Arabidopsis thaliana: one gene and its partners. The protein of the gene in region 2 interacts with the protein of the main gene of each other region in a pairwise test. Each region holds a gene or a part of one and is shown on either strand. Other genes may lie near its edges.

Region 1 (3,660 bases), about 23 Mb from region 2:
CACTCAAATTTGAGCGGGCTTTTATAACTAGATTAAGGCCCATTTCTAAACAAAATAATCCAAAATCACTTCATCAGAGCGTTTGAAAGAATCTTCGAAACGAGAATGCAAACGTAAAAACGATGGGCTTGGGCCTAAGCGAATAAAAAAGGTTTAAGGATAAAAGGGGAAAATTCCTGGGTGGTCTTACTCTCTTTATCCGCTTGACTAAAAAAAATTGGCGTCGAGTGATAGAGACGAAGAAGAAGAAGAAAATGCCGTGCCTCAACCTCTCCACCAACGTTAACCTTGACGGCGTCGATACATCTTCCATTCTCTCGGAAGCTTCCTCCACCGTCGCGAAAATCATCGGCAAGCCTGAGAACGTAATCCCTTTTTCTCTCTCGATTTAACCTCTAGTTCGTTTCGTTCTGTTCGAATTTTGTTTCGATTCTTCGTTTTCTCCTGAGATTTGCCTTGTGTGCGTCTTTATCTCTTAATCATTTTCTTCTCCTTATTGAATAACAGCGATTCGAGTGTTGTTTTCTTCACATGCATGATATAGAAACCCTAAGCAATTTTATCTCGTTGCTCCGTTCTATTCTAGTGGTTCACATTTCCGGAGTCTTCTCTTGACTTATTTGTACAATCTTCGTTGGGGTTCTTCTTTTTTATTTTACCACGATTTCTAGGCCATTCCTGGCCCTTGAATTTCTCATTGCTGAAGTTTGTTTTCAAAAACAATATTGGTCTGCTTTGACGATTGCTTGTTTATGTTAGTGATGTTTAAATATTTTTGTCCTGTAATGTTGTTTCTTAGATCATTATCTGATTGCATTGTTCATTGTGGTAATTTGCAGTATGTGATGATTGTCTTGAAAGGCTCAGTGCCTATGTCATTTGGCGGGACCGAGGATCCTGCAGCTTATGGTGAATTAGTTTCTATCGGTGGCCTTAATGCGGATGTGAACAAGAAGCTAAGCGCTGCTGTTTCCGCCATTCTTGAGACTAAGCTATCGGTGCCCAAGTCTCGATTCTTCCTCAAGTTTTATGACACCAAGGCAAGCAATTCCCTCTCTCTGATAACTTTTTTGATGTAGTGACATAACATATGCAAATGTGTTAATGATTTCATATGCCCGATATGCGTCCATGTCTCATTTTCATTGTTCGTTGTCTCTCTAGGACCATCAAAGTCAAGAATATGCACAATGTTTACACGCTTTACACCAGCACTACTAGGTCATGAATAGGGAACAAATACATCTTATGTGTGTAAGTTCATCATCATAAGACGGACCTATAACTTTTACTCATAAACTAGGCATTATAAACAATTAAATCAAATGCATAAACCGTTCCACTACTCGAATTCAATCTTTACACCCACACTGTTGAGTTATTTAGGAGATTCGTTCAACTTCTCTAAATCCGTTGTCTAACTGGCTTAGAGGGTCATCCATCATCTGGAGTGTTTATGCCTATAACCACCTGATATATCAATTATACATTTCTTTTCTCGTGTGGTTCTTCTTGCAGGGATCCTTCTTTGGTTGGAACGGGGCGACTCTTTAATTCCGTGGTAGGTGATTAGTGTGATTGTCTTGAAATGTATGATCTACTCTCATCGATCAAGTAACTTTGAACTACTTCGTATTGTAAACATATCTAAGGTTTGATGGAGTTGCATTAAGAAATAACATTTATGCTATATATGATGCTACAACTTACTATCAGGGTAAACAATGGTTATTTAGTCTTTGTCTACTCGTTAGATATAATTATGTTTAGAATTCGAAGATGAATGTTATCAAAGAAAAAAGGATTTGACATTGTCAAGTCTACTACTCCATATGACAGATCAACATTGTGTTAAAAATATTTTCTATTAGGGAAACTTCCTGTGACTGGAACATTAATGGTCAAATGCACTTTGCCTAAGTAATCAAGAATTATTGTATAAACTACGTTAAGCAAAAAAATAACCTGAGTTATAATATCAGGAGGTTATTTTTATTTTTATTTTAGCAAATGAATATAGATTAGCTATCAGATGAAGCAAGGTGTATAATCAAAGTTGAAAGACGCGTAATTGTGATCCTATATATACATAACACTACCGCAACTTCAGCAACCTCTAAATCATTCGTCTCCTAAAATTTTCCAATCTCAAAATCCCAAAAGAACAAAATCGAATGGTGTCAACAAATCCCCCTGTTCTTCCAATTTCCACCACCGCAACAGACACCACCAATCAGCCTCCGATTGTAACCGCTGTGGTGGAATCGCAACCTCCAGTCGTCCGTGCATTTGTCAACGGTGTGACCGAGACGGTCTGTGGTGGTCTATCTCGTAGCCGTCCGTGGTCAGAGCTCCTCGATCGATCCGCTTTCACAAAGCCTGACTCTCTCTCCGAGGCCGGGACGCGATTCCGGAAAAATTCCTCTTATTTCAGGGTGAATTACGTTTGCATTGTCGCTCTGATCCTTGGTTTCTCTCTTCTCGCCCACCCATTCTCTCTCATCCTCCTCCTATGTCTCGCCGCTTCCTGGCTCTTCCTCTACCTCTTCCGTCCATCAGATCGTCCTCTTATCCTCTTCGGCCGATCTTTCTCCGAATACGAAACTCTCGGTGGCCTAATCCTCTCCACGATCGCAGTGATCTTCTTCACAAGCGTCGGATCTGTATTGATATCCGCTCTCATGATCGGAATAGCAACAATCTGTGTCCATGGCGCCTTTAGAGCTCCCGATGATCTCTTCCTCGACGAACAAGATCATGCCGCCTCCGGATTCCTCTCATTCATCGGTGTTCCCGCGATCCCCTCTGTAGCACCCTCTGCCTCCTCAGCGGCTTCCCCCGTGTAAATTATAGTTCTCAGAATCTGGCGTGTTTAGAGATTTGAAGGTGGAGATTGTTGCAATGTAATTTTCTGTGATACTTGACCATTGTTGCAATGTAATTTTCATTGAAGTCAGTCACCAATCACATTGAACAGATGTTTTAAAATGTCCACGTAAGCAATTATTGTTTGGAACGATTTCGGGTTAGCATTCGTGCCGTTAGTTACCGCAATAAAAGGCCGTGGCAATATCACACTTGTCTTGGAACGCTATGTCCGTAAAAACCAAGCCCAAAGTTAAAATAAAACCACGCGTCTCATAATTTCGGCCCAAATCTTTTTCAACTTTCCCGCCTTTGTCAGAACTTTTAACTTTTTGGATTTTTGGTGATGATTTTGGTTTGGGGAAAGAAAATAAAACAATAAAAATAAAAATTCCGCACTCCCGACTCCTCCCTCTTGGCGTGGTAGGCAATTCTGAATCGCGAGGTTTAGTTCTCCGGCTGAATCATATAACGACGAATCGGAAAACTTGGAAACCCTAGAACTGAATAAATGTCGACGTGGCATTTATTTTCCGATTCCAGCGGCGATGGTTTCCGGTGGGAAGTCGCTGGCCGGATTCTTCAGTCCGTCTCGGATTCTACGCCAACCAAGGCGCTCGAATCGACAGCTCCTCTACCTTCCATGGCCGATCTCTTGCTCCAAGGTGATTCTTCGTATCTTCCTTTTCTTTGTCGAATCGTGTTTGTCATGTGACTCAAAGGAGATTGAATTATTATTTGATGCTTCAAGGATGCTCGAAGCTTATAGAACGGGAAGAATCGATGCCTGGGGAA
Region 2 (4,101 bases):
CTTACTCTGTTTTTGTAGGTTTTCTTGTACAGAGTCTGTTTTAGTAGCATCCCCTGTTTTGCCTTTGGCGGCAATTTTGCTTCTTTTTTCTTTTGGGGGCGCATGATCGGCTTTTGTATGGCATTTTCTTGAAATCCTTTTTGGTGATTCTTAAGTATGAATTGTAGTAAGTATGTGGAATGGATCAATCTTGAATCTTCTCTTCAGTTTTTACTCTCCCCTGTTTTCTCTTACTTGTTGGAATGATTCTTGATCTCGCTGAGTGAAGAGTGGAGACATGGGATGAAATGTCTTTACTCTTACGTCATCTTGACAGCCAAAACTCATCTGTACTACGTATGCAATAACATCGATAAACAAACTGAGTCCAGCTAATCATCTTGTTGTTGTCTCAAGTATGGTCTGCCACTACTTCATCTTATTATATGTCACAATACATTCACATTTGTTCGGACGCGTTTACGAAACCTGACTGGAATTTTGGTTATCCACTGCTTGGAATCTAACTTAGCTATTGCATTTCACTGCAAAGGATTTATGTTTAATGATTTAGCTTAAAAGGATTTGTGGAAAGCTCATTATTCAAACAAACAAAACTTACATGAGGATTATTGATCAAGTACATATATACCGTGATCTACATTGCTAATGTACAACATGTGTTACAAAGGAATGAGTTTTTCATCTCTCATCACATCAATCCAATACAAAACCGAATCTAGGGTTCTATATTTCCTCTTAAACCCAAACCTATCTACTTTTTCTCTTTTCCCAAGAAGCTTAAACGGACATCTAAACAGAGCATCCAAGAAATACCAATTCGCCAAATCCTCAATCTCTGTCCTAACAAGCTTCTCCTTCACAACAATCTCATCCCACACATGTTTTCTCTCAACCATCTCTCTCCCAAACCAGAAACCTTCATCAAACATGGTTGTTTCGTTAACTTGTACACCAAGTTTCTTCCCTATTTCCGGCCAAATCTCCTTCCAAGTAAACCCTACTCCATTAATGGCGTTAAAAGCTTCCCCTTTCTCGCGTACTTTCCCACTTGTTGCAGCGAATATATGCTGCTCCGCGACTAAATTCGAATCAGAGCCATCTATGTAACTCTCTTCCCAACATTCTCTTGTTCCTCCAAACACAAAAGGAAGATTCAAATACTTACACATCGCTCCATAAACACAAAGACTTCCCATGAAGTTGTACAGAGTTCTTGAAGAGCTTCCCATTAGCAAACCAGGTCTTTGAACCGACCAAACAACGGAACTACGAGTGATCTTCTCCTTCAGCAAGTCCTCCAAAACATAGTAGAAATTCTTCCCAGAGCTCTTTCTTGGACACTCCTCGCTGTAATAATACAAACTCGAACCTTCTCCACGAGCCATTGTCTCTTCCACCAAAGACACATAATGCTTCATCCCCGTTTGAAGCGAGAAATGCTTTAACCTCTTAGCGTTTGGGAGAATCGCGTCCAAAGCGTTCATCAGCATCGTCTTGTTCTGTACGCAACATTCGTCGGTATCCAATGGAAACTCACCAGACCACGTGACCCAAAACACGTGACTCACGATGTCTTGTAATGGAGACAACCTCTGTTTAGTCTCAGATGCGTTAAGCAGATCGCAGGAGATGAAGTTGTACATCTTCGTCATGGAATTGATCTCCGGGTTACGCGCTACGCCGTAGATTCTCCATCCTGGTTTAGACATTAATAGCGTCTTAACAATCTCTCGACCCACAAGCCCGGTGACGCCAAAGATTAACGCTACATTCTCGTCTACTTCGTTTCTTCTCATCAAGCTGCCATTTTCAGACCCCATTGTGATTATTAGTGAGTTATGGACTTTGATCAAAGCTTCATATAAACGCTTAGAGTAAAGACAAAAAAAGTTTGTGGGACTGATTCAACGTGTTTTAGGATAGTTTCAAGACTCGATGCTTACCTGTTTTAAAGGCTATGATAAATTATCCAAAGCAAGTTGCTTTGAACACAGCTACGATGTAGCATAACGAAGCAACATTTGTTTAAGATAAAATAGACTAAAGTCAAACAGTGTTTTGGGTTTCATGTTAACGTGTTTATCAATTTAATTTGTGGTTCTGGAATGTGTTACGAAAGCAACAGTTGTTACAATAGTTTTTTAAGGAACCGTCGTGTACAGCATTTTGTCCGGTTCTCAATCGGACGGTCAAGATTTTGCGAGAGGCAGAGTCTGGCCCGTGGTTGCTGGCCGGCTTTTAAAATTATAGTACACTTCAAGTGGGTCTCTACTCTAATAGTATTCATTTTAGTTAACAGTCTCACCGGTCAAAACCGAATATTAGCCGACAACTTATTCAATGAACTAGTTATATATACACTCGTGAGTCGTGATGATTGTTTTTTCATAACTAGAACTCATGTACCCGAAACCAAACCGATTTGAGATCTAACTGTCGTTCGATTCATGCAGTGGCCAAACATGTATCATATCGAATTTCATCAAATGAAACAAGTTGACCAATGGAATTGAGAAAGTAAGTTTTTGGATTAGCGAAATGGAAGACCATAATTTACATTATCAAACAACTTTTTGATTGATCAAAATTATTCTTCTGTTATAAGTCAAAGTCTTTGATCACGTATAACGTTTTAATATGAGAAAATTGAATAACTACCCTGTCTACGTTGAAGAAACTGAAAGGGGGAAATGGGTACAGTGTATCTCTTGTCCCAAAGGACATTGAAAAGCTAAAAAACTAACACACTTGGCTACGTTTAAGGCTTTAAAATGGACCATGTTTTGTGGTAGACCTACACATTACTCTTCTTTCAATTTTGTTTTCCTCCGTATTCTATGCATTGAATAGACCCACTTCTCATCTTTAAATTTTCTGTGGAATTGTGAAAGAGTGTTCTACTTTGGCGACAACAAAAAAATGTTTCTTGGAACTTGGAAGAACTTCAATAAAACGGCATGGAGTTTTGACTTCCAAGTTAGAAACGGAGTGTACCTCAAGAAAAGGGATCTAAGCGTAAATAACTAAAACTAAGAACCCTAAAAGAAAATACATGATTATGAAAGGACTGAATCATAAATGCCTGTCCTCCAATGTTGAGACGAATTGAAAAGGAACCAGAACAACTACTATCAACGGTGATCGATTTCGCCGGGAACGGAGAAGAAAACCCTAGATATGGCGGAGAAGCTTGCGCCAGAGAAGAGACACGATTTCATTCACAATGGTTTCTCGCTTTCTCTATCCCCTCGCTCTATTTCTCTAATTTCAGCTGATTCCATTTCACGAGATTTGGTTTGAATGTTCTTCGATTTCCGATGGTTATAGGTCAAAAGGTATTTGAGTGGGATCAAACCCTGGAAGAAGTGAACATGTACATAACTTTGCCGCCAAATGTTCATCCAAAGTCATTCCACTGCAAAATCCAGTCGAAACATATCGAAGTTGGCATCAAAGGCAACCCTCCCTATCTCAATGTCAGTTTCTTTCGCTATCTTTCAATGTTTTTGATCCGTTTGTCTCATAAATCTGAGTTATTCGATGTGGTATATATAACTCGATTCAATTGTCTAAATTTTGTCAATTTTCAGCACGATCTTAGTGCTCCTGTGAAGACTGATTGCTCGTTCTGGACTCTAGGTACTCCATTTTTTGTTTTTGTGTCTGTATTGGGTGCTTGTTTTTGATGGTTAGGTTTCTGTTTTTAGACCCGTTCACTATTGCTAGAGAGGATAAACTGAACCTGGAAATGTGATCTGAGTTTGGTATAAATAGTGGGACATATAGTTTGGAATGTGGAAAATTTGAGACTAATGGAGGGATGATGGAATGTACAGTATATTTTGGGTTATATTATCAGCGTATGTAAGTTACTGGCATAGTTTTTTTAGGTTCATAGTCTGGCACTGATTGCTAATCTGGATTGTTATGTTTGATTTGGCAGAGGATGATATAATGCACATTACCCTGCAGAAGAGGGAGAAAGGGCAAACATGGGCATCACCGATTCTGGGACAGGGTCAGTTAGATCCTTACGCCACTGATCTTGAGCAGAAGCGGCTCATGCTCCAGAGGTTTCAAGAAGAGGTTAGCTACCTG
Region 3 (3,664 bases), on a different chromosome or scaffold from region 2:
ACAATGTCAATAGGACAAATACTGAGCAAGAAGCTACTTCTTGCAGAGGATTCAGATATGAATGTTGCTAATGAGAGAAGAAAAATGTCGTTGGGTCAGATGCTTGCAAAGAATAGCAGTAGTGATAAAACTGTAAGCAAGAGAAGTGAAGGGAAAGAGAATGAGAAAAGGACGAAGACTCGAAAGAGAAAGAGTTTCGGATTTGCTAAGATCTCTGTGTTGTTGAACAAAGAGAGCAAGAACAAGAAGAAGAAGAAAAAGATAGCTTTGAACTTAAGGTGATATTTTGAATCTGTTGATGACTTCTTTCTGTTTTGTACGTGAACCAGTAGTTTAAGAAAACAAAGTGTATCATCAAGTGCTTTATTATAATGCTAATCTAGGCTAATTAATCCCAATACGACCATATTAGCATTGACAGAGAAACGAAACAGAGAAGATGATGAAGTATGGAATTTTTCAGTAACTTAATTCTATTACAAAGCTTCTTTTATACTCTGAGAGTTAATATGTATACATAGAACAATCAGTTAAGAGACTAACTAAATCATCATATGACTCAAGGGACTAACAAACTTATCATTTTAAACTGAGGTAGTATCTAATATCCAATGAGACTTGGAACATGATTAGGAAACAATGGTTTTGTAAACACATCTCCTAGTTAATTCTCTCTTCGTAAGTGTAGAGCCATGATCAAAGTAGCTTGGATTCTTCTTCTCACAATATGACTTTGGTGCGTTAATGAAACAATGGATTGTTGTTGGCAATGTGTATAGCTGCAGTAGTAGCCACATATGATATAGCATTGACAAATTGCCAAAACACTTGACTCTGCATTCGCCTCTGTTTTGGCCAACTCTCTGACACCTCTTTAAGCCACAAAACCATTGTAGTAGACAAGAGATTTAAATGACTTACATCTCAAGAAATCAACAAGACTGCCTAATCAATAACGCATTGATCAAAACTACTGAGACTTTCCATCAGCTTTTCATTGAAAGAAAACAAACTGAAAGATTTGAATAAAAGAGTTAAAAGAGTTCACTCCCAAGTCCCAATCACCAACCTCCATGTCCCAGAAGACGCCAATCTCAGCCGCGGCGAAATCTCTTGTGGAGCCGGGAGCGAGACATGGTTATTGGTGTTCTCTGTGTTGAAGATGACTCACCCACCTTTGTGTAATCCTCTGTCTCATAACCATCATCGTTTCTGTTATTGGTTAACTGAAGTCTCCCCTTGAACTGAAGTACTTGTCCACTTCTTGGTGACCAGTTGTGAGATCCCACGATTGAAGATAGGCTTTCCTCCATATGATAGGCTTGTCCAAAGCCACACTGCAGTTACTTGACTAAGAAGCGATTGTGATAAATCATCATCATGAGCCAAGTTCTCAGGCTGAGCTAAGAGAATATTCCCAGTCCTGCTTTTCATCATAAACGAAAGACACTTGACGTACGAGCAGTCATCTGTGATTTTGCTTGAGATTACCATGAGATTAGTTGGTATACGTGTCCGGTCAACTGTCCATAACATAAGCTCCTCCAAAAATCATAGAATGTATCCATTACCTTAATAAATCTTGATTAAATAGTAATATACCGTTATCGGAAAAATAAAATTCAATATAATAGTTTCATTCACTTTTAAAATTTTGGAAAAAATAGATATAAATATAAAACTCTTTAACATTTATCTCCCTAAAACACGAGATTTAACCTAATATAGATCATAATTAAATCAAATAATAATAGGAAAACCAAAAAGGAAAAGAGTCACGTTTATTGTCGGTGACCCGTAGCAACGAAAGAAATAGGAAGGTCAACAATTTTCTCATACCCGTATATAAAACAAATCTATCTCTCCTTCCCTCTTTAATTTATTAATCAGATCTTGCCCAATTCTTCAATTTCTTCAACCCTAATTCTTCTCTCTTTCTCAGATCTACCAAACTTGATCTCCAATGGCTTCCTCAGCACCACCAGTCCTCCCAATCTCCAATCCCCAAACCGTTCCATCCGCCGCTCCTTCCTCCGTCGAATCTCAACCACCGATCGCTACTCCAGCTTTCCGCAATTTCATCAATCAGATCACCGAAACCGTTAAAAACGGTCTCTCTAAGCGTCGTCCTTGGGCTGAGCTCGCGGATCGTTCCGCATTATCCAAACCTGAGTCGATCTCCGACGCTGCTGTTCGTATCCGCAAGAATTACTCGTATTTCAAGGTTAATTACCTCACCGTCGCTACAGCGATCGTCGGATTCTCTCTCGTCACTCATCCTTTCTCTCTCGTCTTCCTCCTCTGTCTCCTCGCGTCGTGGCTCTTCCTCTACTTGTTCCGTCCCACGGATCAGCCGATCGTTCTATTCGGTCGTACATTCTCCGATCGTGAGACGTTAGGGTGTTTGATTTTGTTCAGTATCTTTGTGATCTTCCTCACCGATGTTGGATCTGTTCTGGTTTCGGCTATGATGATTGGTGTTGCGTTGATCTGTGCTCATGGTGCTTTTAGAGCTCCGGAAGATCTTTTCCTTGATGAGCAAGAGCCTGCTGCTACCGGATTCCTCTCTTTCCTCGGTGGTGCCGCCTCTTCAGCCGCGCCTGCTGTTATCGCCGCTCGCGTGTAAATGCGATTCCGATCTACCATTCCCTCGCCTGGGTAAATCTTTCTATATGATTCATTTGTTGAATTTGATACTTAGATTTTGTTTTTTTAATCTGAAAACAATAAACGTGAAAATGTTGTGGATCTGGCCTAATTTTGGTTCTTGTTCATGGGCAATAGCTATAGATGAAATATATATCTTTGCATGATTTTGATTTGATGAAGTTTTACTACCGTTTTGTGTTAATCTTTAGCCTTTTTTAATTTACAAGTGTTGTTTTGGAAGATATGGATTTATTTCATGATCAAATTCAAAATGCAATGGATCTGTTTATTAGAACTTGTAGCCATCTTTTGATTTGTTATGTGACTACATTGCACTGCGTGTATACAATCAAAAGAGTCAAATTTGGATGCATGTGCATGCAAGATCCATCCAAATTTCACCAGTTTTCAAAAGCACCCATCATAAGACAGACCTGGATCAGAGTCGTAGGATTTAACGAAAGGAAATTACTTCCTATTGAGGATGAGCAGCAGAACAATATCCACATTACGCATTTACGCTACTTGACTTGACTTGAAATCGTGGGTCGGAGCAAATGCGATGCACAAATAATTCGATGAGCAGCTTTAGTATTGGGCTTCGTACTCGAGTCCGGCCCAGTATAAGCTCATTTACTTCTTTTCGAGTCCAGTTCGGCAAAGGCCCAATGTCTATGAAATATCGAATTGGTGGCGTATACCCTAAGCCAACAAGGAAGCTTCGTTTTAAAAATGATTTGTTACTTACCTAAAATTAATAGTATTGGGTGACAATCCACCTTACATTCTTATCTTTTTAAGGGTTTTAGCTTACGGTATAAGTCACCAATTTGACATCTTCCATCAACGAAAATTAGTAAATTACAAAAAAGTACAAAGTCTTAGTCGCAAATATCTCTATAACCAAAAGCAAAGCAATATCCTAAGTTGTATTGACCTCGGAAACTAGAATCTCCTTGAACTTGGGATTTGTCAATGCCAGTGACTTAGAAATTGTTCTTTGCGAAGGCAAAAG

The links. Proteins that work in one complex are often made in the same cells at the same time.
Region 1: the proteins of AT5G58750 (region 2) and PRA1.B5 interact in a two-hybrid assay, tested with the Arabidopsis thaliana proteins (one large-scale study listed by BioGRID).
Region 3: the proteins of AT5G58750 (region 2) and PRA1.B4 interact in a two-hybrid assay, tested with the Arabidopsis thaliana proteins (one large-scale study listed by BioGRID).

What each region holds. Positions count from the first base shown.
Region 1 is NC_003076.8:240,628-244,287, reverse strand, and holds PRA1.B5 (prenylated RAB acceptor 1.B5), read left to right. Parts: upstream 1-1,965; 5' UTR 1,966-2,174; coding exon 2,175-2,846; 3' UTR 2,847-3,076; downstream 3,077-3,660. Other genes in the region: AT5G01650 (Tautomerase/MIF superfamily protein), read left to right, coding at 255-365, 840-1,040, 1,165-1,221; BRCA2B (BRCA2-like B), read left to right, coding at 3,377-3,530, 3,617-3,660. UniProt on the Arabidopsis thaliana protein: May be involved in both secretory and endocytic intracellular trafficking in the endosomal/prevacuolar compartments.
Region 2 is NC_003076.8:23,726,608-23,730,708, reverse strand, and holds AT5G58750 (NAD(P)-binding Rossmann-fold superfamily protein), read right to left. Parts: upstream 2,122-4,101; 5' UTR 1,824-2,121; coding exon 663-1,823; 3' UTR 567-662; downstream 1-566. Other genes in the region: AT5G58740 (HSP20-like chaperones superfamily protein), read left to right, coding at 3,181-3,229, 3,331-3,479, 3,594-3,642, 3,947-4,089.
Region 3 is NC_003071.7:16,068,802-16,072,465, reverse strand, and holds PRA1.B4 (prenylated RAB acceptor 1.B4), read left to right. Parts: upstream 1-1,801; 5' UTR 1,802-1,963; coding exon 1,964-2,626; 3' UTR 2,627-3,080; downstream 3,081-3,664. Other genes in the region: AT2G38370 (weak chloroplast movement under blue light protein (DUF827)), read left to right, coding at 1-282; AT2G38365 (endonuclease/glycosyl hydrolase), read right to left, coding at 1,216-1,536; AT2G38350 (uncharacterized protein), read right to left, coding at 3,158-3,397. UniProt on the Arabidopsis thaliana protein: May be involved in both secretory and endocytic intracellular trafficking in the endosomal/prevacuolar compartments.